Linked DNA regions of Kluyveromyces lactis. The protein of the gene in region 6 interacts with the protein of the main gene of each other region in a biochemical or structural test. Links are inferred from orthologs where the notes say so. Each region holds a gene or a part of one and is shown on either strand. Other genes may lie near its edges.

Evidence for each region.
Region 1: the proteins of CDC5 (region 6) and BBP1 form a complex in vitro, tested with the Saccharomyces cerevisiae proteins (2 studies listed by BioGRID). The link is inferred for Kluyveromyces lactis from reciprocal best matches to the Saccharomyces cerevisiae genes CDC5 and BBP1.
Region 2: the proteins of CDC5 (region 6) and STU2 form a complex in vitro, tested with the Saccharomyces cerevisiae proteins (2 studies listed by BioGRID, with this or other methods). The link is inferred for Kluyveromyces lactis from reciprocal best matches to the Saccharomyces cerevisiae genes CDC5 and STU2.
Region 3: of the proteins of CDC5 (region 6) and BFA1, one has a biochemical effect on the other in vitro, tested with the Saccharomyces cerevisiae proteins (7 studies listed by BioGRID). The link is inferred for Kluyveromyces lactis from reciprocal best matches to the Saccharomyces cerevisiae genes CDC5 and BFA1.
Region 4: of the proteins of CDC5 (region 6) and SWE1, one has a biochemical effect on the other in vitro, tested with the Saccharomyces cerevisiae proteins (2 studies listed by BioGRID). The link is inferred for Kluyveromyces lactis from reciprocal best matches to the Saccharomyces cerevisiae genes CDC5 and SWE1.
Region 5: of the proteins of CDC5 (region 6) and MUS81, one has a biochemical effect on the other in vitro, tested with the Saccharomyces cerevisiae proteins (2 studies listed by BioGRID). The link is inferred for Kluyveromyces lactis from reciprocal best matches to the Saccharomyces cerevisiae genes CDC5 and MUS81.
Region 7: of the proteins of CDC5 (region 6) and NUD1, one has a biochemical effect on the other in vitro, tested with the Saccharomyces cerevisiae proteins (3 studies listed by BioGRID, with this or other methods). The link is inferred for Kluyveromyces lactis from reciprocal best matches to the Saccharomyces cerevisiae genes CDC5 and NUD1.

Annotation. Positions count from the first base shown.
Region 1 is NC_006042.1:629,731-632,747, reverse strand, and holds BBP1 (Bbp1p), read right to left. Parts: upstream 1,698-3,017; coding exon 501-1,697; downstream 1-500. Other genes in the region: KLLA0_F06512g (uncharacterized protein), read left to right, coding at 2,063-2,878. UniProt on the Saccharomyces cerevisiae protein: Component of the spindle pole body (SPB) required for insertion of the nascent SPB into the nuclear envelope and for the proper execution of spindle pole body (SPB) duplication. Connects the central plaque of the SPB with the half-bridge.
Region 2 is NC_006041.1:1,460,548-1,464,773, reverse strand, and holds STU2 (Stu2p), read left to right. Parts: upstream 1-1,426; coding exon 1,427-3,925; downstream 3,926-4,226. Other genes in the region: SER2 (phosphoserine phosphatase), read left to right, coding at 1-475; thioredoxin TRX2, read right to left, coding at 543-857.
Region 3 is NC_006037.1:714,141-717,676, reverse strand, and holds BFA1 (Bfa1p), read right to left. Parts: upstream 2,331-3,536; coding exon 501-2,330; downstream 1-500. Other genes in the region: PRP39 (Prp39p), read left to right, coding at 2,811-3,536. UniProt on the Saccharomyces cerevisiae protein: Part of a checkpoint which monitors spindle integrity and prevents premature exit from mitosis. This cell-cycle arrest depends upon inhibition of the G-protein TEM1 by the BFA1/BUB2 complex.
Region 4 is NC_006038.1:658,189-662,259, forward strand, and holds SWE1 (tyrosine protein kinase SWE1), read left to right. Parts: upstream 1-1,402; coding exon 1,403-3,571; downstream 3,572-4,071. Other genes in the region: CCP1 (cytochrome-c peroxidase), read left to right, coding at 1-641. UniProt on the Saccharomyces cerevisiae protein: Protein kinase that acts as a negative regulator of entry into mitosis (G2 to M transition) by phosphorylating and inhibiting the mitosis-promoting cyclin B-bound CDC28 at 'Tyr-19'.
Region 5 is NC_006041.1:275,730-279,437, forward strand, and holds MUS81 (Mus81p), read left to right. Parts: upstream 1-1,363; coding exon 1,364-3,208; downstream 3,209-3,708. Other genes in the region: EFT1 (elongation factor 2), read left to right, coding at 1-894; CIN10 (Cin10p), read right to left, coding at 3,236-3,708.
Region 6 is NC_006039.1:539,022-543,035, forward strand, and holds CDC5 (polo kinase CDC5), read left to right. Parts: upstream 1-1,387; coding exon 1,388-3,514; downstream 3,515-4,014. UniProt on the Saccharomyces cerevisiae protein: Protein kinase required for the cell cycle where it is involved in mitotic exit. A component of the fear (CDC14 early anaphase release) network which promotes CDC14 release from the nucleolus during early anaphase. Phosphorylates SCC1/MCD1 and NET1.
Region 7 is NC_006042.1:25,572-29,572, reverse strand, and holds NUD1 (Nud1p), read right to left. Parts: upstream 2,801-4,001; coding exon 68-2,800; downstream 1-67. UniProt on the Saccharomyces cerevisiae protein: Involved in astral microtubule organization by binding SCP72 to the outer plaque in a cell-cycle dependent manner. Required for the mitotic exit by facilitating the binding of TEMP1 to CDC15.

The DNA.
Region 1 (3,017 bases), on a different chromosome or scaffold from region 6:
TCTCTGCGTTTAGTGTGCTGGAATTATCCACGAGGGTCCGGAGGTAATTACTACAAGAGATCTGTCGCGTTCAGCTGTGGGGTAATAATAGGAAAGTTTCCGTGATGTGATACACGAACAGTACCTCGTTATGGTAGCTATTATGAGAGTGTCCTTATTTGCGAGAAAGCTTTCCATCTCTCATGCACTTCTGTTGAGGATTATCTAACTCGTGTGTAGAAAGTTAAATAAGACTGTATACAGTACAATATGAAAAAACAGTAGGTAGCACTGGAAACTCTGGTGCAACGAAGGATAGCCTAGCCATTATGTAGTTTTTGGCCTACACTTCTTTTTTTCTCGAGTTTCTTTGGTTTCGGAATATCTTAGATCCAAGTTAAACTTACTAGTATAATAATACATAAGGTTTTATCTGGGGATTTTTCTGGACAAAACATTAATTAGAACGTTACCGTTACTATTACTTTTTTTATTGTTACAATTTTGAGCTTCTTCTCTTGTTATTTGACTAGATTTCTTAGAAATTGTGTGTCTATCGTATTGTTGTATTCTTTATATGGCGAAGCAGTGCTGTCAGAAGTTTCTTGAGTATGCGGCATGAATGATGAAGATGACACTGGACTAGTGTCTGTTGCAGGTCGTATTGGGTGTTCGTGAACATACAATTTTTCTTCCAAATCCTTTATCCGTCTTTCATATATCATTCTTTCCACTTCAAATTTGTTTTCCAACTCCTTCTTTTGTAGTTCTACGGATAGGATACGTTCTTCTGATTTCTTCTTTAACCTGTCTTTTTCTATTGATAAATCAACGATTTGTTTTTCCAAGGACGCAATTTTATCTAGCATTGAAGAATTGGAGGCTAGTGTTTGGGTCGGCAGTTGGATGGAACGTTTCACCCCTTTGTACTTATAGTATAGCTTGCAATAGTTATCATAAATCATCTTGGACTGTTTTAGCTCCTGTATAAGTTCTTGTCGTATCTGTAGGTACTTCTTTTTCAATTCTGTTTCCTTTTCCATTCCGTGCTTCTGTCTTTCCCTGACATCTACCTTTAAATCACGTAGCTCCTTGTTGTTTAAGCTCAATTTATCCATGAGTTTCACATATTCAGGTGTGTAATCCAAGTTTTGCACTGATGGAGCTACTGGTGGTATTGCTGGAGCTGTTGATGCCGCTTTTCTTTCAGCTCCAGTAAATGCATCCCTGTTGGATATACGAGCATTATACTGCTTAGTTGGAGATGGAAACTTGCCCGGTAACCGTCCAGTGTTGAATTTTTCTCGTTGCGACCTCATCTCATTAGTGTTTAACTGTGAATCATCTTCATCGACTTGAAATAATTTTGAGATTATGGGATCGTTGGGATTCGGTGCTCGTCTAATATTTGGCGTTTCTTGAACTCGCCTCTCTCTTGCTCTTCTTGCGTGGAAAGTGTTTGTATCCTGCTTCTCGTAAGGTAACCCGTTCATGCTAACAGGTCTCAATAAGTCAGGTTCGTCCTCATCTCGTAATAATTCATATTTTGAGTAAATATCTGGATCCGAGAAAGATGAGGCTCTAGGTCTTGAGTATATTTCCTCATCGAATGAGTCTTGCTGCAGTTGTTTATCATACATTGTAGATGGAGATGTGTCTCTGTTGAATAGCGCATCAATTGTCCATTTGAATAGACCTCCCGTATCATCAGAACCCATAACTATACTTTTGTTTTGGCCTTGTCAATGTAGAACTATATTTCCGCAAAAGATGAATGGATTAATAACCTGCTATCGACCGTATAAGGTCCAGTTATGTTACAGTTGGTCAACTAGTGGCTATGATCGAACAATCAAGTATTCTGCTTTTGTGACATTCAAAACGTACCCGAATATTTTTCTACTTGGAGTATCATCCTGTTCTAAAGGTTTTCTTAGATGTTTTTGTTGATGTTAGATATGTCAAAAGAAAAACTAAAAGCACATATACAAACAATAGCGAAACAGGTAAGGATAAAGGATGGTCAGGGAATAGTGGACTGATCGGGATTTTCATCGCAAAAATTACCCAGATCCCCAGTTTGATGTCATTAGAAGCTGCTGGTGAGAAAAGATACGATGTCGCTGCTACTGCTTCGCGATTATACATTTATGAAAACGATGAGTTGAAGTTGCAGTATGAAGTCAACTCGATGAAGTCGTTATTATGGGAGAATTACGAGACAAGACTGATTATACTTGTTAATCACGGACAGGATATCAAGATATATACTATCGAAAAGCAGAATCTCAACTTGGAGCAAGATTTAGTGGTAGATGTTGGGTACCAAATAGATTCATTTTATGCCATTTGGTCACTGTCCACACTCCTGGTTTACGACAAAGTAAGGGCATCTCTGAACATTTACAACATAGACAAACGTGAAGATTTGGGCTACATCACGATTGATTCTGAAAATAGTAAAGTACATGTATTAAAGGATCGAGGTTTCCAACTCATAGCGGTTAATTACGACAACCAATTGAAAACTGTATGCCGATTCTGTAATACCTATGAGTTCAACCAATCAGGCCAGGTTGACCTATTGACCACAGTTGTTTTACCCATAGGGTATCATAAATACCATATTGTTCGCTCTTATATGTCTGCTGAAACGGAAGAGGTTTTTTACCCAGTATATGGCATTGTCATGACGAACATAGCCGAAGATAAGTCTTTAATTTACCTGATGTTCAATAATGCGAAATGCCCTTTCAAGGTCCGCACCGTCATTTACAGTAAGGGTGCAACTAACATCCAAGACAAGTGGGTGGATCCAGAAACAGAATGTTTATATATCAAAACAGCTCACGAATTGGTCTCAGTCCCGTTCTTCCACGAAACTGACCGTACCCTTTGACAGAAATTTAGTTTTAACAAGAAGCGAAGAATGTAAAGCAAGAAATTGTTCTGGCAACCCAAGATAGTAATGGGAACCTATCCGTTGTATGAACCTTATTAAATGTCACATGACTCGGAAATCTTGATTACTTGACTTT
Region 2 (4,226 bases), on a different chromosome or scaffold from region 6:
TAAACCTAGATTAAGAGTCACCAAGGGTGTCCCAGAGCTATCGAGGGCGTTGAAGTCCCAAGGTTGTAAATTGGCAGTGTTAAGTGGTGGGTTCATCCCGTTTGCTAACTACATTAAGGAAAAGTTAAACTTCGATTTTGCATTGGCTAATACTCTGGGTGTGGAAGTGTCGGATGACGGTACTGAACAATTGAACGGTGAAGCACTCGGCGATATAGTTGACGGAGTGCGCAAGGCCAAGACGTTGGTGGCTCTTGCAGAACAGTACAATTCTCCGATCGAATCCACCGTCATGGTCGGAGATGGTGGTAATGATTTGAACGCAATGGCCGCAGCTGGGTTCGGAATCGCATGGAACGCCAAGCCAAAGGTCCAAGAACAAGCCCCATGTAAGTTAAACAGTGATACAATGATAGACGTCCTATACATCCTGGGGCACACTGAGAAGGAGATAGAAACCATGATCAAAGAATAGAAATGTAAAGAATTTATTCTGATATATATATAGTAAAATGTATATTATAAGCAGTGTACAAAAAATTTTACACGTTAGCAGCAATGGTTTGCTTGATAGCAGCCAAGTTAGCACCTAGGACTCTAGAAATTTCCTTACCGGACTTGAAGAAAACTAGGGTTGGCATAGCACTGACATCGTTGTTCTTTGCAACATCTGGCAACTCATCAACGTCAACCTTCAAGAAGGTAGCTTTACCCTCGTATTCCTTAGCGAACTTTTCCAACATTGGGGCAATCATCTTGCATGGACCACACCAGGTGGCAAAGAAGTCGACGACGACCAACTTGTCGTCAGTCAAAGCCTTTTCGAATTCGGATGCGGAAGTAAGTTGAGCGACCATTATATATGAAATTGGAGGGGATAGTAAAGATAAATTGTACCTTATTTGATGAGGATAGAAAGTTATCAGATTATCCGATAATCAATCGAAGAGACAACTAAATAACCTTTAAATGTATCTTACTTCCTTTATATAATAATGTTGGTTAAATATCGAGTTTTTGACAAATTTTTGCTTGCTAATCAGGAATCGAGAGCTGGAATCAGCTAGAACCCGTCCATTTGTAAGCAGGTGGAAGCGCCAACACTCGTGTAACGGTGTTTTGAATGGCTTGAATTGACTGTATAATGTTCAACCAACACGCATCAGCGCCGATTGAGTGATTGGAGGGGCGTGTACGTGTATAATAGATCCTACCCTCCCATTATTCAGGTTTCTGCAAACCCGATCCAAAGCATATCAACAAAGTCACGTGATATATCACATGACTTGAAATCAATCGTTTCTGTAAACAAAAACAATCAAAATCAACCAGTAAACAAACAAACAGACGAGACAACATGAATAAAATAGACGGTCAGTGAGTCAACACAGGGTGCTGCCAGCTGTATCGCGTGTGTATATCTCCCATGGATAACGCTACGGATGATTCGGCGTCTTTTCAGACTCTGTCACTAGATGAGAGACTTGTTCATAAGCTTTGGAAGGCAAGACAGCATGGATATAATGAGCTAGAAAGCACATTCAATAAACTGTCCGTTGCTAGAGTTGCAGAGAGTGGCGTTAATAAGTATTGGAAGAAACCTGAGATTTTCACGGGGTACGTATTGGATTCCAATGTTGTTGCACAAGAATCTGCCGTTAAGGCCTTGTACAGTTTGTTGAAATTTATGATCGACGTACCCCAGATCAGAGATTTGTGTCAGCCGGGTCAATTGGTTCAGGGCTGGGTTCCAGCTCTGGTGGAGAAAGGTATGACTTCCTCGAAATCAGCGACGAAAGAGGCTTCATTGGCCTGCGTTTCGCTTGTCGTGTCATTGGATGATAATATCGTAAATGCAATCAATTGTCTGACGCCGATTTGGACCAAAAAATTACCGAAGCTGTTGACTGCAGCGTTAATGGTTCATGTAAAGTTGATAGAGCAGTTTGGGTTCGTGAACGTTTCTCAACAGGAGAAGATGCAATCGTTACAGGGTCTAGTGGAAGTTTTACCTAAACTTTGCTCACATGCGGATAAATCTGTGAGGAATGAGTCAATGCAGTTGATTTTACAACTATATACATGGTTTAATAAACCTGTACTTCAAGAGCTTCTATTGGGGAAGTTGAAGCCCATACAACAGAAGGACCTGGATAAACTGTTTGAATCGTACCAGGGCACTATACCGCCTTCTTCAACACCGTCTCAGTTTATATGGGCAGTCCCGGCTCAGAGTGATAACAATTCAACTGATTTACCCTTGGATCATGACGGAGATCTAGCAATGGCAGGTAATAACGGCCAGTCTGCCGCTGCTCTGGATAACCAATCAATCGATCCATATGATATGTTCCCCGTACAAACTATATTAGATAAGCTACCGAATAATTTCTATCAGAGTTTGGCGTCTAGCAAATGGAAGGATAGAGTGGAAGCTTTAGAAGAGTTCCACGATCAGACTTTAACCAAGGTTAAAAAATTGTCAGCATCAAATGAAGATCATTCTGAAATCATTCACAAATTTTGCTCGACTATCACTTCCGATGCAAACCTACAAGCAGTACAAATATCTACCAGCAGTTTAGATATACTAATATCCGCATTAAGATCAGAATATAACCCATTCGCATTGGAAACTTTAAACGCTCTCCTAACTAGATCAAAGGAGAAAAAACCAAACGTCGCAGATTCTATTTTCAATGCTCTCCTGAACCTTTCAAAGTACTATAAATTAGAGCTATGTCTCGAGTCTGTGTTACAACACATGAAGAACAAAGTACCACAGGTAAAAATTGTATGCTCGAAATTTCTTTTCGAGTTGCTATCCAATTGGACACCGACTGAAACTCTTCATAGAACGTCGGTATTCTCCAATTTGCCAGCGATACTCAATTCTTTGCAGCCCATTGTAAACGACAATCAACAGGCAACAAGAAATGAGGGTTTCAAGTGTATTGCTATCTTAATTAAGATATTCGATGAAAGAGAACTATCAACATATTTGGACAAGCTCGATAACTTGAAAAGGAAGAAGATCCTTGAACTTGTTGATAAAGTGGAGATCAAGGCGGCAACGGTTCCACCTCCACACCAAACCCAACCGCAAACCCAATTAAGATCAGCGGCACCAGTAGTACGATCCCAACCCTTGTCTTCAACGATCCCTTCAAAACGACTGGCCACTTCTCCATTGAAACCGGCACGTAACTCTGCCTTGAATGGCAACACGAAGTCGTCCAGGTTGACTTCAAGGTCTCTAACTACTCATCAAATGATGAACCATACGGATCTGCCTTCCTCAACACAACCCAAATCTAATACCAGTTCCAACACAAGCCTCTCTGGCAATTTCACACCACAGACAAACATATCCAACAGAATGTCACATTTAAACGATGAAGTGAACAAATTAAGACAAGAGAGACAAGAATGGCTAAGGGAGCGCAACGATCTCTTATCCAACTTAAATCAATCCAATTTACAACTTTCCAAAGTAAATAAACTCTTGAACGAGTCTGAGACATACGTTTCCAATTTACAAAGGCAATTGCAGGATTCGAAGGATCAATTGAACGCTAAGAATTTAAAGATCAAGGAGTTAGAGAGTAAACTGACGGGCGGTACTTCCGATACCATGTCAACAGATTCACCCATATCCTCGTCCATTAGCAGAGGAAGATTAACAGCAACTACCTTATCACCTCTGAGATCTACTAAAAATGCTACGACTCCTCAAAGGGTCAGATCGCCTAGTGAAAGTAGCGACGATCTACCTAGACGTGTCAATTCCCTAAACTTGAACAACCATATGTTGCAAGAGGAATCGTGGAAACGAGCTGCAGAAGTTACGAACCAATTAAAGGCACGTATAGAAAGAATGAGGGCCAAATCCAGGTCCGGTTTCAACAATCTCGGCGTAGATTAAGAGAATCCACTATGTACAAAATAGATTCCTGTATAAACGACGAATTGAGCGCAAACTCCGACATGACAACCAGAGAGGGAAGCTTCCAGTCACATGACCTAGAATGCATATATTGTCCCGGGTAATATATAGCAACGTCTTCTCTCTGCTTATCTCTGGTGCAGCCTCCTAGTTTTTCCGAAAAGTTTCTTTTTCTCCAAAATTCTCCGAAAATCGTCAGATATTCCAGATATGCAACTAGAGGGAAGATACACCGTTATATGCATTTCAAAATGCAAATAACGGCAACTAAGCCCATCAC
Region 3 (3,536 bases), on a different chromosome or scaffold from region 6:
ATTCGACTAAACAGATCAGTCTTTGCAAGTATCTATAAATAATCTCAAAGTGAATCATATACCATAGATAAAACAAAAAGATACTGATTGGGAGCTCCAAAATTGATTCTGATATGGGATACAATGATACCACCAATATAATGTCTCTTAAGTACCAAATAGACTATTCTAAACCTCCAACTGTTGTTATTTACTTTCGTGTTTCATCTTAAAACTAATGTTGTTATATAAGGAAATGTTGATTTCCTATAAAAAGATTCTTTGACCGTGATCTATAATCGAATTCTGAACAAAAACCGATGGTTTTAAAGGGACTATATTAAGGAAATCAGTGCCGAATATGTAGTGCGATAGGCTTTGTAACATAGAATGACCTAGATGTTATGTTAGAGAGATTATTCCGTTCTATCATAAAAGATGATTTTTTATATGTATAGTTATTGTCTCTGAATAAATTAAATGCTATAGTAGGTGACACATGTCAGGACACTGATTCAGAATCAGTTACGCGCTGATGAGATAACCATATTCCTGATTTCGTACATGTATGATTTGTCATTTAAACTGGTATGTGACTGGTCTGCGGAACCAGTGTCTCTAGATTTATCACCAAGAATGAACCATCCACCTACCTTCCTGCTCCATTTATTCTCTTCATGGTAAAACTTCTCTAATTGTTTGCTTGTAATTTGGTACGTAGGATCTGTGGTTGAGTTTGTAGTCAAAGAGTGGAATCGTGTGGATTCTGAAGAGATAAATCTATTTCCATGCTCATCTCTTCCGAACGGCAGTTGAGACTGTGATCGAAGAATGTTACCAGAATGTCCTTGTGATTGGAATTTGACGTTCTTGGTAGGTGAAGATTGAGATCTTGGCATCAAGTCTGTGATACCATGAAACGGATCTTCTTCAGTACCATCAACTCGTAGCCATCTTAGGTTCTTTTCATCAAATCTCATTTTTCCCACGACCTTCCCATGCTGAGAATTTGAGGAGGCCGCATTCGTCCCTGATGCCGCTATTTGAGTAGAGGACGAAGTCTTCAACGGAGACTTTGACCTTTTGTTCTTGATGATAAACGCTTTCCGATCGACATTTTCAATGTTATCGAAACTGCTTAAAATATCCTCATTACCATCCCATCGTTTCTCCCTTGGGTTGTATTTCATCTTACCTCTTTTCAACGGCGTGTTGAGATCAATTTCTTGTCTTATTGTCTTTAAACGAGCACGAGCTCTTGTAGAATTACGTCTGTTAACAGCAGCAGCAGCAGCGGCCTGTTTTGCCGTACCCCGTTGTTGACGAGCTTCCCTATACGAATCCAACGGAGCGTCGAACGCATAATGCTTCTTATGCAGCTGTGGTGTTAATAAAGTGTCATCATGTTCGATATCATACTCTGAGGGTGATAAACGTAATGTTGGATCAAATGCTGAAAAGTTATTGTTGTTATTAGTAGCGAACTGGAAGTTATCGTCAATTCCTTCAAAATCATTACCGAAATTATCGTCATCGTCGTCTCCATTATTAGCCATTTCTGTAGCCTCAACAGCAATGTCTTGGACAACGTTACCGTCATCAGTTCTTTCACCAAACCTTGGTCCAAGATCCCTGTAACTCCTTCTAACTCTGGGCACATATGGATAGGGTTCATCATCTTCATCTTCATCGTCATCTTCGTCATCTTCGTCCTCAAGTAACACATCTTGACGGTTGAACCTCATTAACGATGGCATAGATGACTTATAACTGAGAGTTCGACCAGAACTGGGTCTAAGGTTCATATAAGACCTGCTGTTCGGTACTCGACGCGATTGCTGTGAATTCAAGCTTGTAATATTACCTTTACTACGGGTTGCCAAATCGACCATCGATCTACGCTGTCGTACCGAATCCTTCAACGATGGCCGCACTAGTCCCGCATGGTTTATATATTGATCCACATTTCTAGTACCACTACCACCACCGGTCTTAGAATTTCTCAGGTTCAATGATAGCTTCTTCTCCAGTTGTTCTTGCAAATCAGCTAGCTCGTCCTGATCCGAACTTTCCCTAAATCGTCTATCCACAGCAAGAGGTAGGTCTGTACCATTTTGGTACTCTTCAAAATCACTGTTATAGTTCATATCATCATCAAGATCGCTCGCCAGTTCCGTGTGTGATGAATACCTCTTATCCTTAGAGAATGTGGTATTTTCCGTAGTTGTGGATGTAGCTGAATTAGGTGCCAATCTCGGTACCTCTATATCATCTTTATAAGTAAATGTGCTTTCAACATCTTCAAATGATGTTTCTCCGACATCATCCAGTACAACTGGACGTATAGACATCGATAATCGAAGATTGTCCCTGGTCTTTTCCCTTGTTTATTCCTTTGTTTACATCTCGAACATACCTTTAATGCTTCCGTCATTGATGTATCTATTAACCTTAAACAAAATAATCATATTCGTGAGACGTGATACTATATTAATTGCTGTTTAAACCGCTGTTGAGACGCCAATTCTGCATTTCGAGCACTCCTATAAAACACTGAGATTCCCAGAATTCGACTAAGTTAATAATTACCTTTTAAACACTCATTTAGGCGCGTTTATCTCTGTTTGTTTTTCTTTCATGCTTCCAAAATGATTCAAAATTGCAAAGAACCGTATTATTGTAATTCTTTAAGATAAATCTCTGTTAAAGATGCATGATGCCACCAAACAGAACAAGAGCCTTTAGCTGCTATCCGTGAGCCGTTTTGAGTGTGAAGTCGGCAGCAGGGGTTTGCATATCAAATTTAAGAAGGAAACTAGGGATTTTATGAAATGTTTGAAGGATTAGACCAAACTTTTCTGAAGAATAACGATGAATGGGTGCAGAGTTATAATTCTGTTGACTGGAACGATATAACTACTATCGACAAACTGGTGGTTGGTACAGAAGCATTGGTACAGAAATACAATAATCCCAATGAACATGTGAAGAGCAATATATATAAAGTTTTTGATGAGTTATTGGGAAGGTATCCGTTATTTTTTGGTTACTGGAAACGATACGTTGCGGTGAAATATCAGCTAGATGGATTAGAAGGGTCTATTTCTACTTTAAAGGCATCTTTACATTCGTTCCCTACGTCGATAGATCTTTGGATTGATATGTTGAACGTTTATCTAACACATAATCAGAATGATAGTGAACTGATACGAAACCAGTTCAGGAAATGCGAATCCCTCGTGGGATCTCATTTCCTCTCGCACGATATTTGGGATAAGCACATTGCATATGAAACAAGACTACAGAACTGGGAAAACGTATTTGAGGTGTACAAACAAGTCATGCAGCAACCTTTGCATCAATATGCAAGATACTACACCAGCTTTAAGGAATTCTTGGAATATCACCCAGAGTTTGCTAATAGGGAATCAAGCATCCATTTGGATACCACATTTATTTCTAACCAGGAGAAGGTGAACAAAATATGGACATATGAATCACAAATAAAACAGCCATTTTTCAATATCCCTGAGCTTCCCGAGAATGAGATTCAGAAT
Region 4 (4,071 bases), on a different chromosome or scaffold from region 6:
CCAACAATGGGTTGCAAAACGCTGCGAAGTTCTTGGAACCAATCCACGAGAAGTACCCTTGGTTATCTCATGGTGATTTATATAGTTTGGCTGGCGTTACGGCGATTCAAGAGATGCAAGGTCCCACAATTCCTTGGAGATCTGGTCGTGTGGACCAACCTGAGGATACTACTCCAGAAAACGGTAGATTACCTGATGCTTCTAAAGATGCGAAATACGTGAGATGCTTCTTCCACAGACTAAACTTCGAAGATAGACAAGTAGTTGCATTGTTGGGTGCGCATGCTTTGGGTAAGACACATTTGAAGAACTCTGGCTTCGAAGGCCCATGGGGTGCTGCCACCAATATCTTCACCAATGAATTCTACAACAACCTGCTAAACGAAAAATGGGACCTCATCACTAACGATGCCGGTAACAAACAATACGTCAACGATAAGGGCTGGATGATGTTACCAACAGATATGGCCTTGGTACAGGATCCGAAATACTTGCCTATCGTGAAAGAATTTGCAAACGACCAAGACACATTCTTTAAAGAATTCACCAAGGCCTTTGTAGTATTACTTGAAAACGGTATTGATTTCCCTCAAGAAAACAAACCTATAAAATTCAAGACCCTTGATGCCCAAGACTTATAAGTTTCTACTCCAAGAATCAAGCAAAACACACACATAAACACACACAAAACACTGCAGCATCAGGCCGTCATATCATAAAGTGCCTGCTATTTATTATTTATGTTAGTTCTTATATACGTTGTGAACTATCATAACTGTCTATTTATTCAAATCGGATAAGAAAAAACACGACGATATGCAAGTTTCTGAACAGACGCACATTCGATAGAAACAGTGATCCCCACTGAAACATAGAAATTCTGCCCTTCCACTCATATAATAGTCCTGCCAGGCTCATTCTTGCCAAGTGTGTTATGTTAGGGAATGGCCCGTCTTTGCAGTTGCCTAACGATTGCCACGAAAATCATCAACACGCGAAAAAAAACGAAAAACATAGAAACAGAACGACGTGTTGAGAAGATCAAAAATCGATGAAGTAAACACACAGGTGAAAACAAAAAAAAAGAGATCTAGAGGAACCAACCTCAACACTTTAACCATCACAGTTCTACCATCAACTAGATTCGTTCTATTGGATCCTTCCAATAGTTGACAAAAGTCTATTGTTTGTTGTTTTAAGACAGCTTTCCTGGTTGTCTGTTAATTCTGTACCAGGTTCTGTTTTGACAGTTCAGAACAAGGACAACGAGAACCCACCCGCCAAGGGGCCATAATTTGGGTGTTTTTGTTTCAGTAAATAGTTACTCGACGGTGTGACAAAAAGTAATCACTGAAGAATAAAGTACTCATCGAAGGGGATCATCAAAAGCACGACATAAACAATGCCATCGAAACGGAAAAACTCACTGCAGCCAAACTTTGGGCGCGTAACTGTCAACACTGCACTTTCACCTCGGGTAGAAGTTTACCAAGACATAAATGAAGAAGAGACTGACCATGCATACCAAAGTGATGTCGATCTTGATACGGATATGGACCTGGACGTTGAGTTTCATTACTATGACCAGCTTTCGCACTTCAGTAACAATTCCAATAATCTCAAGTTTTACTCGGAACCTCTGAGTTCAAGATCTAATTCTAATGACACTCCGTTGGGTCTTACGAGAAGTGTTGGTGTTCTCAATCTTTCATTGGAGACTGAAACGCCTGATGTGAAAGATCAAAAGTTTAATGAGGAAAATCAGTCCCATATCGACAGCAGAGTACCACAGCTTCAAAGGCCCCTCATCACTACAAGTGCCTCCAATTCAGCATCTAATAGTTTAAAGAGAACTGTGAGCAAGACTGGATTCAATATATCCTCTCCATTTTCCAAGAACAATGCTGCATATTTAAAGAGTTGGCATAGTACGAATGCTGCAACATCTAGTGATTTGTCCTCCACTAAGACTACAGGAAAAAGTAATAATTCGTTTACAGAAGCAAAACCGGATCCTGTAGCTTTTCAGTCATCTGGCCTTATTTCCAAAATGAAACAAACAATTCTACCCAAGAAGTTGACAATACCAGATACGCCTGTGAAGAAGTCTCCGCTGGTTTCGAGACATTCTGACCAAGAACTTTTGGACACACCAATATTAGAGCATTCATCTATCATGTCAGCACAAAATCAGACGACATTTCCTACGATGTATGATTCCCAACTTTTCAAATCTCCCCCGATGATAAATACCGTGTTACCTTCATCAGAAAACTCTCCTACCAGTTCCTCTAATCCAAGATCTAAAAAGAGAACTAAAATTGTAAAGAACACAGAATTGACCTCAATGTTGAGACAAATCACGGACGATTTGTACGGACACGATCAAGAAAGTTCAATCTTTTCACCGTCACCCTCAAAGACAAATCTTCAAACTCCAACGAAAACATCCTTTGATATTGGTCCTGATTCTCTGGCTATCATGACAAAACTGCGAAACGATCCAACACATCTTCAACCACCTGAGAAGCAAAGATCAATCAATGCAAGTATCATGAAAAACCCTGATTTCCATCTAACGACCAAATTCAGTAATGTATCCATAATGGGAAAAGGTCAGTTTTCTACTGTCTACCAAGTGACTTTCCCAGAAACTGGTTTAAAATACGCCATCAAAAGTGTACGACCAACTAAACATAATTTTACCAATCGAATTCTACAAGAAATCAATATGTTGTCAACAATTCAGGATTCAGTTACAAATGACACAGAAGGTAAGGAATATATCGTAGAATTTATTTCTTCGTGGTCACATAAAGGTTCATTTTATATAATGACAGAATTCTGCGAAAATGGAAATTTAGATGCTTTTATACAAGAGCACGTCATTGCTAAACAACAACGATTGGAAGATTGGAGGATATGGAAGATTATCGTTGAAATCTGTCTAGCTTTGAGATTCATCCATGATTCCTGTTCAATTGTTCATTTAGATTTGAAGCCAGCTAATGTTCTCATAACTTTCGAAGGTAATTTGAAACTTGCTGATTTTGGGATGGCTACAAAGTTGCCAATAGAAGATAAAAGTTTTGAAAACGAGGGTGACCGTGAATATATTGCCCCGGAAATTATACGTGACGGAATATACGATTTCCGTGCTGACATCTTCTCCCTTGGGCTAATGATGATTGAAATCGCTGCTAACGTTATTTTGCCTGATAACGGAAGTGCATGGCATAAATTGAGGTCTGGTGATCTATCTGATGCTGGCAGATTAAGTAGTGCGGAGATCCATTCGAGCTCACTCTTTTCCAATAAAAAAGATCATACGAATATCACTGACATCACAACGCATGAGACAAAAATTCCAGCGTGGGTACCGAAGTTTTTATTAGACGGAATATCGCTGGAAAGGACTATCAGATGGATGATCGAACCGGATTACAGAGATCGTCCATCTGCATCTGATTTACTCCGCACCGAGGAATTAGAATATGTAGAACTAACAAGAAAGACAGGTGCAGTTATTCATGAGGATGACTACGGCCCAAAACCAGAATTCTTCTCCTAATTCACTTCAAGAAAATATAGAACATGTTATGATATTCAGCTTTACATAAACCAGCTTTACATAAACCAGTTTACGTCTGTTCTTTCTCTATAATGCCCTAATACTGACATAATAACAGCTCCGTTCATTTTCCTTTTACTTTTACTGGTTTTTTAATTTTTTGACATAAAAAATATACATGAGGAACATGTATATTAAACAGATATTCAGAGACTTTATGAGAAATTACAACGAGAGAGATGCAGTGGTGTGCAACGTTTGAACAAAAACGAACACCAGGTGGGGATAACGACGTGAGGTCACGTTAGAGGATGCACGTACTTGTGCATACTTATAGGTTAACACCCACAATTCTTATATAATGAACTCGCGTTTTGGATCAATAATATGATGAGTTATCAAACACTCTTTAAGCTAGATAGTATCTGAAATTATAATGATTTTAGTGTATTTGAACATTTTTAATACCTCTGATATTTTTCCAAAACTTGAATTATCTA
Region 5 (3,708 bases), on a different chromosome or scaffold from region 6:
GAAAACGACCACGCTGGTATTCCATTGAAGATCTCTCCTCCAGTTGTCGCTTACAGAGAAACTGTTGAAGGTGAATCTTCCCAAACTGCTTTGTCTAAGTCTCCAAACAAGCATAACAGAATCTACTTGAAGGCTCAACCAATCGATGAAGAAGTTTCTTTGGCTATCGAAGGTGGTAAGATCAACCCAAGAGATGATTTCAAGGCCAGAGCTAGAATTATGGCTGATGAATTCGGCTGGGATGTCACTGACGCCAGAAAGATCTGGTGTTTCGGTCCTGACGGTAACGGTCCAAACTTGGTTGTTGACCAAACTAAGGCTGTCCAATACTTGAACGAAATCAAGGACTCCGTTGTTGCTGCTTTCCAATGGGCTACCAAGGAGGGTCCAATCTTCGGTGAACAAATGAGATCCGTTAGAGTTAACATCTTGGATGTTACCTTGCATGCTGATGCCATTCACAGAGGTGGTGGTCAAATCATCCCAACCATGAGAAGGGCTACTTACGCCGGTTTCTTGTTGGCTGAACCAAAGATTCAAGAACCAGTCTTCTTGGTCGAAATTCAATGTCCAGAACAAGCTATTGGTGGTATCTACTCCGTCTTGAACAAGAAGAGAGGTCAAGTCGTCTCTGAAGAACAAAGACCAGGTACTCCATTGTTCACCGTCAAGGCTTACTTGCCAATTAACGAATCTTTCGGTTTCACTGGTGAATTGAGACAAGCTACCGGTGGTCAAGCTTTCCCACAGATGGTGTTCGATCACTGGGCCACTCTAGGTACTGACCCATTGGACCCATCCACCAAGGCTGGTGAAATTGTCTTGGCTGCTAGAAAGAGACAAGGTATGAAGGAAGAAGTTCCAGGCTGGCAAGAATACTACGATAAGTTGTAATCAAGCTCTTATTGTAGTCTCTCGTTCTCCTTCAATGGAATTTTATATTTGTACAAATACACTCATACCTTATTTTGTATAGCTCCTATCTTAGAAGTCTTTTAATCAGTAAGTATACTTTAATGCAATATACTAACATATAAACAAAAAAATAAGAACACGTAGTCCATTTCTATTTTCAAAATGGAGAACGATGGGAAGCATTTCCATTTCTTTTCATCGTGAAATTCGATTCTTTCCCCTTTTCTAACCCATCTGATGTGCTCGGCGTAGTTATGAGCTTGATCTAATTTCTTTTATATTTTTGTTTACATTCACGTAAAGATCAAGAAATTATATCATGGAAGATGAAAAACCTAATCATCGCTGTGCCTGATAGAAGAAATACATAATAGAGGTGATTCCAGGCTGTTCTTACGAGAGCCATTCATAGGGTGTCACATACTTTTGATATCTCCCTCAGTTACAAATGTCCATTCCTAGTGATGCGAAACAGCTTTATGCTGAATTCCTTCAGCAAGAGGTAAACCAGAGTACATCAGCTCATCAAGAAAAGTTAGTGATGGTCTTGAACAGAGCATTGTTTGCCTTAAAGAATTATCCCGACCCTATATATCATCCTAAAGATCTCCTTAAAGTTAAAGGTATTGGACAGACTACTATGAATAAATTATCGAAGCGCCTAAAAACGTATTGCGAAGAGAATGGATATTCTTTCCCTGAGGAGTCAAGCTCAACGGATAACACACAGTCCACTCAGAATGACAGCAACCCCAGTAATACCCAGAAAACAAGAGTACGAACCTTAGAGCCAGAGGAAAATGAAAGCCAGGGTACTAGGAAACGTCGCAAGAAAAAATACATTCCCCGGAATAGAAGCGGCGGTTATGGCATTTTGCTAGGCCTATTAGAATTGGGATGTGATAAGGATGGGACGGCTTGCACACGTAGACAACTTATAGCTGTTGCATCAAAATATTGTGATCAGAGTTACGAGAAAAATCCGTCCACCAAAGAGTTTTATAGCGCCTGGAGCGCCATCAAATCATTGAAAACTAATGATTTAGTAATAGAACAAGGAAGGCCATCTCAATTCAGCCTAACGGAAGCAGGCACTATATTAGCAGATAGTTTGAAGACAGCCAACAATATTGAGTTTGATGTGTCAAGTGTATACGAGAGGCGACTTAACAGGGGCAACACTCAGAATTCTTTTACAAATGATGAACATGATCATACGGTGAACTTTAGCGGACTTATGAATCACGCAAATATGTCTATCAACGAAAGTGCTAATTCTTCAAGATTGTTTCTTGATGCAACGGCAAACTCCAGCAGAATTGAGCAGAATGAAGAACCTGAGGTTTCGGCAGAAATTTCAACACCTATACCAAAGCAAAAGGTATCAAAAGGTCGTTGGAAAGGCGTAAAATACGAGCTCTGGAAACCAGACAGTTACGACATAATTTTACATATTGATCATCGTGAAGTGAGATCGAAAGAAGATAGAGGGTTTTTTGCGAGGAAGCTGTTGCAACGGGGGATAGAAACTGAATCCTCGAGTCTCACGGTGGGCGACATGATATGGCTTGCAAAGCATAAACAATCAGGGCAACAGTGCGCGTTAGATTTCATTGTGGAACGTAAACGATTAGATGATTTGGTTATTAGTATAAGAGACAACAGGTTTTCGGAGCAGAAGAACAGGCTACAGAAGACAGGATGCAAGCACATATTTTACCTCGTGGAAGAGACTACTGGTTATAATGTCAGTGACAGTGCTGATATGATGAAAACGAGTATTTGGACTACAGTAATTTATAATGATTTCCATATTAAACGAACCAGGAATGCTGACACAACCGTGCAATGGCTCACTGATATGTCGTTAATCATCAAAGAGCTTTATTCAAGAAAGTCTCTTGTTGTAATAAACCATGATCATATCACTAATCAGAGCATATACTTAACCTCATTGAAGATGTTCCGAACAGAGTTCGAAAGAAATAAAGAAATTGAATGTTGTCATAACTATGAATCAATGCAATCAGCCATGGTAAAAACAAACCTTATGACGGTAAAGGAACTTTATCTTCGCGCTCTTATGTCAGTTAAAGGTATCTCACTGGAAAAAGCACTAATGATTCAATCCAGATATCCAACGTTCAAAACTCTACTAAAAGCTTATAGAAGATGTGCAGCAGAAGCAGATGCAAAAACATTGATACAAAATGAACTCAAAGATGCACCAGGTAACAGGAAGATAGGAAAATCACTGTCACATACTTTATGGGAAACTTTTGGTAAACTGTGAACTACAAAAATAATACAATCTCATTATTTAATGATAATTTCTATAAATGAAGTGGACATCCACGCCATTTTCGAACACTTGACCTATTTCTTCAAGTGATAAACCTTTCACCTCCGGGTACCAAATATAAACGAACAGCCAATTGAATATAGTAAATAAGGCAAAGAGTAGCATCGTATTTTCGTTTCCAATCCTATCTGTGATAGTTAAATAAGTCAAAGACAACACAGAGTTAGTCAACCAATTAGTACAGGAAATCATAGATCCGCCCACAGCTCTTCGGTTCAGGGGTAAAAATTCGACACTGCTCCACGGTACTACTCCCATACCAGTAGCGTAAGCACCAACATAAACAATCACAGATACAACCAATAGCGCTAGGTTATTCAATTCGAAACCAACAGAACATAATAACAAACCTACTGTCATAATCCATATAGTCATGAGTAGCAAGGTTCTTTTTCCCATCGTGTCAATCAACTTCATTGCTAGTAAGGTGA
Region 6 (4,014 bases):
AAGTACTATATAGGGTTCTTTTTACCTGCCTATTCAAGTCTGTAGCGCTCTAAAATGGGCTATATCAAATTACTTTGGTTGTGGTCCGTCTTAACCTTAAATTTCTTATCGTAAATATAAAACAAAGGAAATTCTAAAGTAGATATATTACCGACACCAGTAATATAGAACTCTCTCGACCGTTTAGGATGTTTCTTTTTTATTAGTTTTCTTTAGGCGCTGATCAGGACAGTGCCTCTTCTCTTACTAAAAAATAGATCAGCTTTTTCTACCGAATGCTTGAAGATTTGATTTTTCAAGAATCCAAGACATTCAACAGATATTAACCTGTAAAGGGCAGAAGTGAAAATGAAAATAGAACAACCGTAAATTTTCAAAATTGCCCCCAAAAAAAAAAAAGTCTCACGTGATCTAATATTCGGGTAAGGTAATTATTTGCTTTTTCATTAGATACTTACTTAGGAAAATGTCCTTTTAAAGAAATAAGGGTTTTTGGCACTTACCGCATTGAGTGTTTTGTTATTGTTTACATTTTGTTCATTTCCGTTGTACAGATTTGGTTAATGTCGAAAAAAATTCAATAATGTAAATAGTCGGTTTTGTGTTTTCAAAGTTGACAAAACTAGTAATTTGTCGGTTTGAATAAATTTGAAGTTACAGTAAATTGCGGTAGCTCATTGTCATTGATATTACTATTTGGGTATCCTTGTATACTGGTTTGGCTTTTATATCAGCTTAAAAGTACTGGGTTTGGTATAATATACTATTATATTGGAAGGGAAAAAAGTCAGATTCTAATATTATACAGTCTTTCTTTACATACTTCCTAAGAGCATACTTGGCATAAGAGAGGGCGGGAACTCAGTCCTTTAATTGTTACCATCTTACCTGAGACGTATCAAGTGCTTATAACAAGGGTTCTTTTGATATTAGAAGCATTTTTTTACTGCGACTGCCATAATTCAGTTGAAAGTTCGATTATTCTTAGGAATACTTACATCACTGATATTAGTTTACAAACTTGCAGGTGAAAGGAAGACTTACAGTGAGCGGAAACATCATTTAACAGTCAGAATCTTGGTTGTTGTACTCATTCTGCTGTTGTTAACCTAAATCGCTTCAGTTTTTCAACGGTGCCAGTGCTTTGACGTCGTAGATTCATTTTTTTTGATCGAGAGCCACAAAACCGTTAATTGCAAGGTATTTATTGGACGGGCCAAGGAAATACACGCAAGAAAGAAATTAGTTACTGGAGGTTGATAAGTGTAGACTATTTATCACACATTGCAGTGATATTTCTTGTATACTGGTTCGACAAGGGTGTTTGACATAACAAAAGCTCGCAGGAGTATCATTCCATCAAAGAGCTACAAAATAATCAGACATCATGTCTGCACCACCACTTCAAATCATCAACGATAAACAGCTAAATGCTCGATCGAATAATATTCATACACCGATCAAGGCTAAAAGGGTTGTTACTGAGCTGCATCATATAGATAGACTTACTACGAATGGTAAACCCACCAATAATAATAATAACAATAATAATAATAATATCAATCGTCAGCAGCCGCCTCAGAAAAAGAAGAAGGAAAAACTCTCTTCTTTATGCAAAACACCTCCATCGTTGATCAAGACTAGAGGACGGGACTACCACAGAGGACATTTCTTAGGTGAGGGAGGATTTGCTCGTTGTTTCCAAATGAAGGATGACAAGGGAAAAGTATTTGCTGCGAAGACAGTTGCTAAACTGTCTATCAAATCTGAAAAGACAAGAAGGAAATTACTATCAGAAATTCAGATCCACAAATCTATGAAACATCCCAATATCGTTCAATTTACAGACTGTTTCGAAGATGATACTAACGTTTATATCTTATTAGAGATCTGTCCAAACGGATCTGTTATGGAATTATTAAGACAAAGAAAACATTTGACGGAACCTGAAGTAAGATTCTGTATGATCCAAATCATTGGTGCCATAAGATATATGCACAGTAGAAGAGTTATTCATAGAGACTTGAAACTTGGAAATATTTTCTTCGATAAAGAGTACAACTTAAAAATCGGTGATTTCGGTCTTGCTGCTGTCTTGGCAAATGATAAAGAGCGTAAATATACCATTTGTGGTACACCTAACTATATTGCTCCAGAAGTGCTCACCGGAAAGCACACTGGTCACTCATATGAGGTTGATATTTGGTCAATTGGTGTGATGCTCTATGCATTGCTATTCGGTAAACCACCATTCCAGGCAAAAGAAGTTGAAACAATCTATGAAAGAATTAAGTGTAGAGATTTCATTTTCCCAGCTGACAAACCGGTATCCTCAGATGCTAAAAACTTGATTTCACATCTCTTACAGTTAAATCCAGCCGCCAGACCATCGTTATATGAAATAACTGATAACGTATGGTTCAGAAATACTTTCCCTTCAAGATTACCGTCTACAATAACCAAGGAGATTCCAAATTTCGATCACCTCAGTTTCAGCGAGTCATTGATTAACTTGAAACAATGTATGCTAAACTCAGGGTTACTTAAGAGCTCACAAACTCATTCTTATGATGGTAGTAAGAATCCAATTGAGTTAGTGAGAACAGAAATAGAAGAAGAAAGAAACAGAGCTGTTTTACCACAATCCTTGTCACCAGGCGGAACCAAAAATAAATATAAAGAAGTTATCGATCTTGATGGCCACAGAAAATTTAACGAGATGGCATATCAAAATCGACTGAAAAAAGCCGGAGAGAATCTATTCTTCAAGCCTGAGTTGGTGGCAACTTCAACTAACATGATTAAATCCGAAATGTCGCTGAAAATACTTGCAAGTGAATGCCACATGACACTACGAGGGATCAAGAGTGCCGAAATAGATAAGAGGCAATCAAACTATCCTTCTCCAGACTCCACCGTACAAGACCCAATCGTGGTCACAAAATGGGTAGACTATTCGAACAAACATGGATTTGCATACCAGTTATCAACTGACGATATCGGGGTGTTATTCAACAACGGAACCACAGTATTAAAGCTAGCAGATGCGGAAGAATTCTGGTATATTAACTATGATACTAAGGAAGGATGGGTTGCAAGCCATTATAAATTAGAATCTAAACCTATTGAATTAACAAGACACCTTGAAGTGGTCGATTTTTTCTCAAATTACATGAACTCCAATTTGAGTAGAATTTCTACGCTGGTCCGTGAAACTTATCATAAAGATGATGTGTTCTTGAGAAGATACACCCGTTATAAACAGTTTGTTATGTTTGAGTTGAGTGATGGTACTTTCCAATTCAACTTCAAGGATCACAATAAATTTGCATTGTCACATGGAGGTAAATTCTTAACATTTATTTCATCTGATCGTAAAACGATAACGTTACTGCTTTCGAGTGTTCTAATAGATGGATGTGTACCAGGATTCCCTTCTATTGATATATTCGAGAAACTAGAACTAATGAAGGAGGGCTTGAGAGATAAAGCAAGTGTTCTAACAATACATTAGGTAGGGATGTCATTGTGATAATATGCAATTTGCATTTGAATGTCTTCATCTGGTTGTACAAGCCAGCATGTATGGCTACGTCCATCAAGCGCCTTTATGTATTTTTTTCGCATTCCTGCATCCAACGATTTATACCAAATGATACCAGCTATTCCTGATCGTTGTGTTCCCCCGATTGCAACTTCTAAAACTGCCATCCATTCTGTATCAAAATATCTTCACCTGTCAGATTTCATTGTTTCATTAGTTAATTTTGAATCTGTGATGAAATAAGCCTGGGGCTGCCAGAATAAATTTGTTTAATTTAACATAAATTAATAATTGAATCTTAACATGATCCCTCACCAGAAAAACTGTATCTTAAAAGTAACAACAAATGTATACAAGTTAGAAAGATGTGAAGATATCAAAATTCGAATATCTTGTTCCTTCCAAGGTTTTTTTATTGCAAACAAGGTCACTATTCTGTACTGATAATACCCAAAAAACCCAAAAGAAAT
Region 7 (4,001 bases), on a different chromosome or scaffold from region 6:
ATTTTGATAGATTTCAGTTGTTTTTTACTATTTTCTATTCTTTTTTTTTCTTTCATTTGGATTTCCTTTACCCCTCCGTACAGAGGTCACACTCCACAAGGGCGGGGCACCAGTGGAGTAAAAGACGGAGTAAGTCCTTGTTTCTGCGTTGATGCACCACCAAATCATGGTTAGTGCCGCTCCCAGTATTTATTTTGTCGGTACCACGCAAAGGTTCTTCTAGCACAGGGTTCTGTAGTATATTTAATCGGAGTAAATTACACGGGAGTGAAGGCAATAATATTTGTGCGGAGTAGATGTTATTACCTTGCATATCTAATGAGCTTAGACCCGTGTTATTCGTGAGCGTTTGTGGGACTCTTGTGAGTCCTAATGAGCGTAGGGTTACCCGACGAAGCTGTGGTGGGAACTCGAAACCTTCCCATGCTGATGATGAGTTTGGATCGGAACCAAGCTTTTGCTTTCTACCATTAGTGGAAGTTCCAAACATTTGCTTTGATGGTTGACGCGGACTTGAATGAGGCATCCCAAGGATTTCCAGTTGCTCCAATGGGAATGACATGGGGAATCGTTCGGATAATGGTATCAACGATGCATTGTAGTTAGGACTCTCTATATCGCTATTATTGTTATTTGTCATATGTGAATCGATTGCATTCTCTTCAATATTGATGCTGTCCATCGCCACAGTAATTCGTAAGATTCGTAGGTTAGGAAACCCGGAAAAGGAGTGTACAGGGACACCGCCATCTTTGATACTTAGGTAACGCAATTCGGGGTTTCCTACTTCAATCTTCTTTCCAACACGACTCCTAGAACCTTGATGATATGAGCCACTATGCAATTGTTCAATCGAATTACCATCTAATATTAACACTCTCAAACTGACCAAATAATGTAGGTTTTTGAGATTTGTGATCCTATTATTTGACAAATCAAGTTTTGTCACATGTTGCCACGGTATAGGAGAAGTTTCGCACAATTGCTTGAAGTCTATGGAACCTATCAATTTGTTATCCTTGGCGATAATCGTATCAACTTTGGCGAATTTTGGAAGGCCCATCAAAGATACAATACCGCAATTGGAAACGTCCACGTAGTGTAGATGTGACAACGGAGCAGTGAACCTAAGATCTTGCAATGCACTTAGGTTGTTGTCTGAAAGATCCAAATGTTCGACATGCGGTAAGTCTTGAAATTGTAGAAGTTGCGATCTTAGCTTGTTATTAGAAATATTCAAACTTTGTATATGATTAGGTATGCCTTGTAACGATATCAACTCATTGTTAGACACATCGAGGTTGATTAAATTCGGCAATAATTCATCAATACCAGTACAGGAGTCCTTTATTGCTTGATCAGATAGATCTACTTCGTACAGAGTCTGCCAATTGGTTGGGTTGGGTTCAATCTCTAATAATCTCGATACAATTTCTCTCTTGGTAAGATCGTAGGAAGTATCCATCCGGCTAATGCTAGTTATATCAGCAATATTGGCGGTGCCCTGAGAATGAATGTTCGACAGTTCTTTGTGCAGTGATGAAGAAGGATAACGAGTCATTGGCTTATCCGTATCTTTTTGATAAAAGTTTCTATTGAATTTGGGTGTACTCAATGGGGTGTCATCAGTAACAGTGTTTAATGTTACGTTGCTTCCTAAATATTCATCATCTAACCCACTTTCAATTTCACTATTGGCCGTTGCAATGACCGGAATTTGAGTATCTATACAATTGTCCAAGGTAGGGTCTCGTTTGAATGAATCTGAAATGGGTTTTAGACTAGAATGAGAATTCGAATTCGAATTAGTTGTTGTCGAATCTTCCTCCATAACAAATGAGCCGGTACTGTTTTCCGATATATTGGAATCAGCAGCGGCTATCATACGTTGTTTATCCCATAGTCCAGTTTCATGATCAAATACTAACCCAGCATCTTCTGGAGTTATCAGAGGTAACCTTCTGGTGTTCGTTACAATTCTAGGCTTAGGACTAGGTGAGTTGAGATTCGATGGGTTCAGTTCGGATAGAGAATCCGAACTTGAATCAGAACCCGATTCAAAATCTTCTGATCCAGACACGGGACGGGATCCGGACTCGAAGTCTGAATTTATGTAGTTCCTTGTCTGATATGGCTGGTTGGCACCATTTGAATTCTTAGTATTCTGAGTGGTTAGGGTATCATTGTCCCTGAAATAATTGGATCTTTGGTTTTTCAGAACATTTTTAAAGACTGATTTTGCTTCTCGTGCAGGATCAGTTTCATGACTTAGACTACTGAGATCGTTCCTTTCCTTCTTCTTGAATGTATCTGCAGGAATTAAAGAAAGATCACTTAATGATGCTGTCACAATTAAATCCGATACATCTTTCGCAGATTGGTCACTCTTTTGCTTTGGTTTGAGTAAATAATTTTTCCACTGAGCCTGTGGAGCATCGTTTCCTTCATCCAAGTTATTTAACCTTTGCGCCATGGTCCCATTTGTTTTCGAATCCTCCTTCAAAGCTTTTACTGTACCGTAGTTGACTGACCAATCGTCCATTTTGCTAAGGAAAGAACCAAATTGCTGTGGCAATGGGTTTTCATTTTCTTTATATGGTTTAAGTTCAGCTTTTTTAGTCTTTTTAAGTTGCACTTTCTCAAGCGTCGGACGTTCGATTGCTATACCAGGTTGTTCGTTTTGATCTTCGAAATCATCACTGTTGATGAAATCTTCGAAATTTCCGTTTGATCGCTTTACAGTATTGACCTTCTCAGGACTCGTAATATGAAAGTTTTCTAAACTCTCAGCTAAATCCATATCGATCAATTTGAGAGATGAAATGAGAAGATGTTGATCAGTGAACTCTTACAGACTGCGCAGTAAGGTGTTCCCCACTTAGTTTGTTTTATTTACGGGTGTTCTGATTCTCGCCAGAGAAATGTAAGCCTTACAATGGTACGCGAAGCTTGTACAAGCAATGACGTGGGAATAAAAGAACGATTGCAACAAATTCGATTGGACACTCAACTTTAGATATAGAGCACTGAAATCTAGAGATTTGATCTTTAGGAGTTCCGGTAGGTAAAATAACGCGAGAGGGTAAACCTGTCTCACCTTTGTCAACTTTTACTTGCGCAAAGATCTCTTCAAAAAATCTTGTTTGTTGCTAGTCGATGAAGCACAAAATGCTAAATAAAAACTTAATCAGCTAAGGATTCAACGCCAATATTTGAGAGCTATCAATCAATAGCTCGTAGAACCGAACAAAGAAATTGCCTATAGCTTTTGTAAGCTTTTAGAAAACGAATGGTATTCTACAGTTATCTGTAACTGAATTCACTTCTTGTAAACTCATAATACTTCAACAATTAGCAGAGCTTCTTTCAATTGGGCGTTTGTTTTCATTCTCGAATTTAATCTTGTTTTTATTATTGTTTTCATGTTTTTCTCAAATGCACTTTCTGCATTTGCGGAGCGCTTTCACAAAGAGAAAACTATATAGATAAATGATACAATTGCATTTAGCAGACATACATATACACCTATAAAAAGTAGGAAATTGGACGGCAAAAACAAAGTGTGACATCTGGCGTCTGTCGTTTCGAAACAGTATTACTTTTCTTCTGACTTCATGCCACAATGTGTAAAGCCTTAAGAAAACCGAAAAAAAAAACATAAACGGTATAAAAAGTATGAAAACTGATGTTAGATTCCTCGCACGTTGTTTGCTGCAAAGAAAGATCGATAACTGATGCTATCAAGAAAAGATGCGCTGTAGTACGACAGTAATATAATTGGGATTCTCGACAATATTTCTACTGCATTTACATTGGTGTAGTACTTCTATGCGTAGAAAAACTTGAGGATTCAATGAACTCCGTCATGTAAATTCTAATGTATATCGGATACACAGTATCGCATCGAATAAAGCCCTTCTTATCTGCGGTATAAACGAAAAAACGCTGCAGAACCTTTTCTACTGACATTTCAGATCCCGGCTGGAATACAGCTATAACCA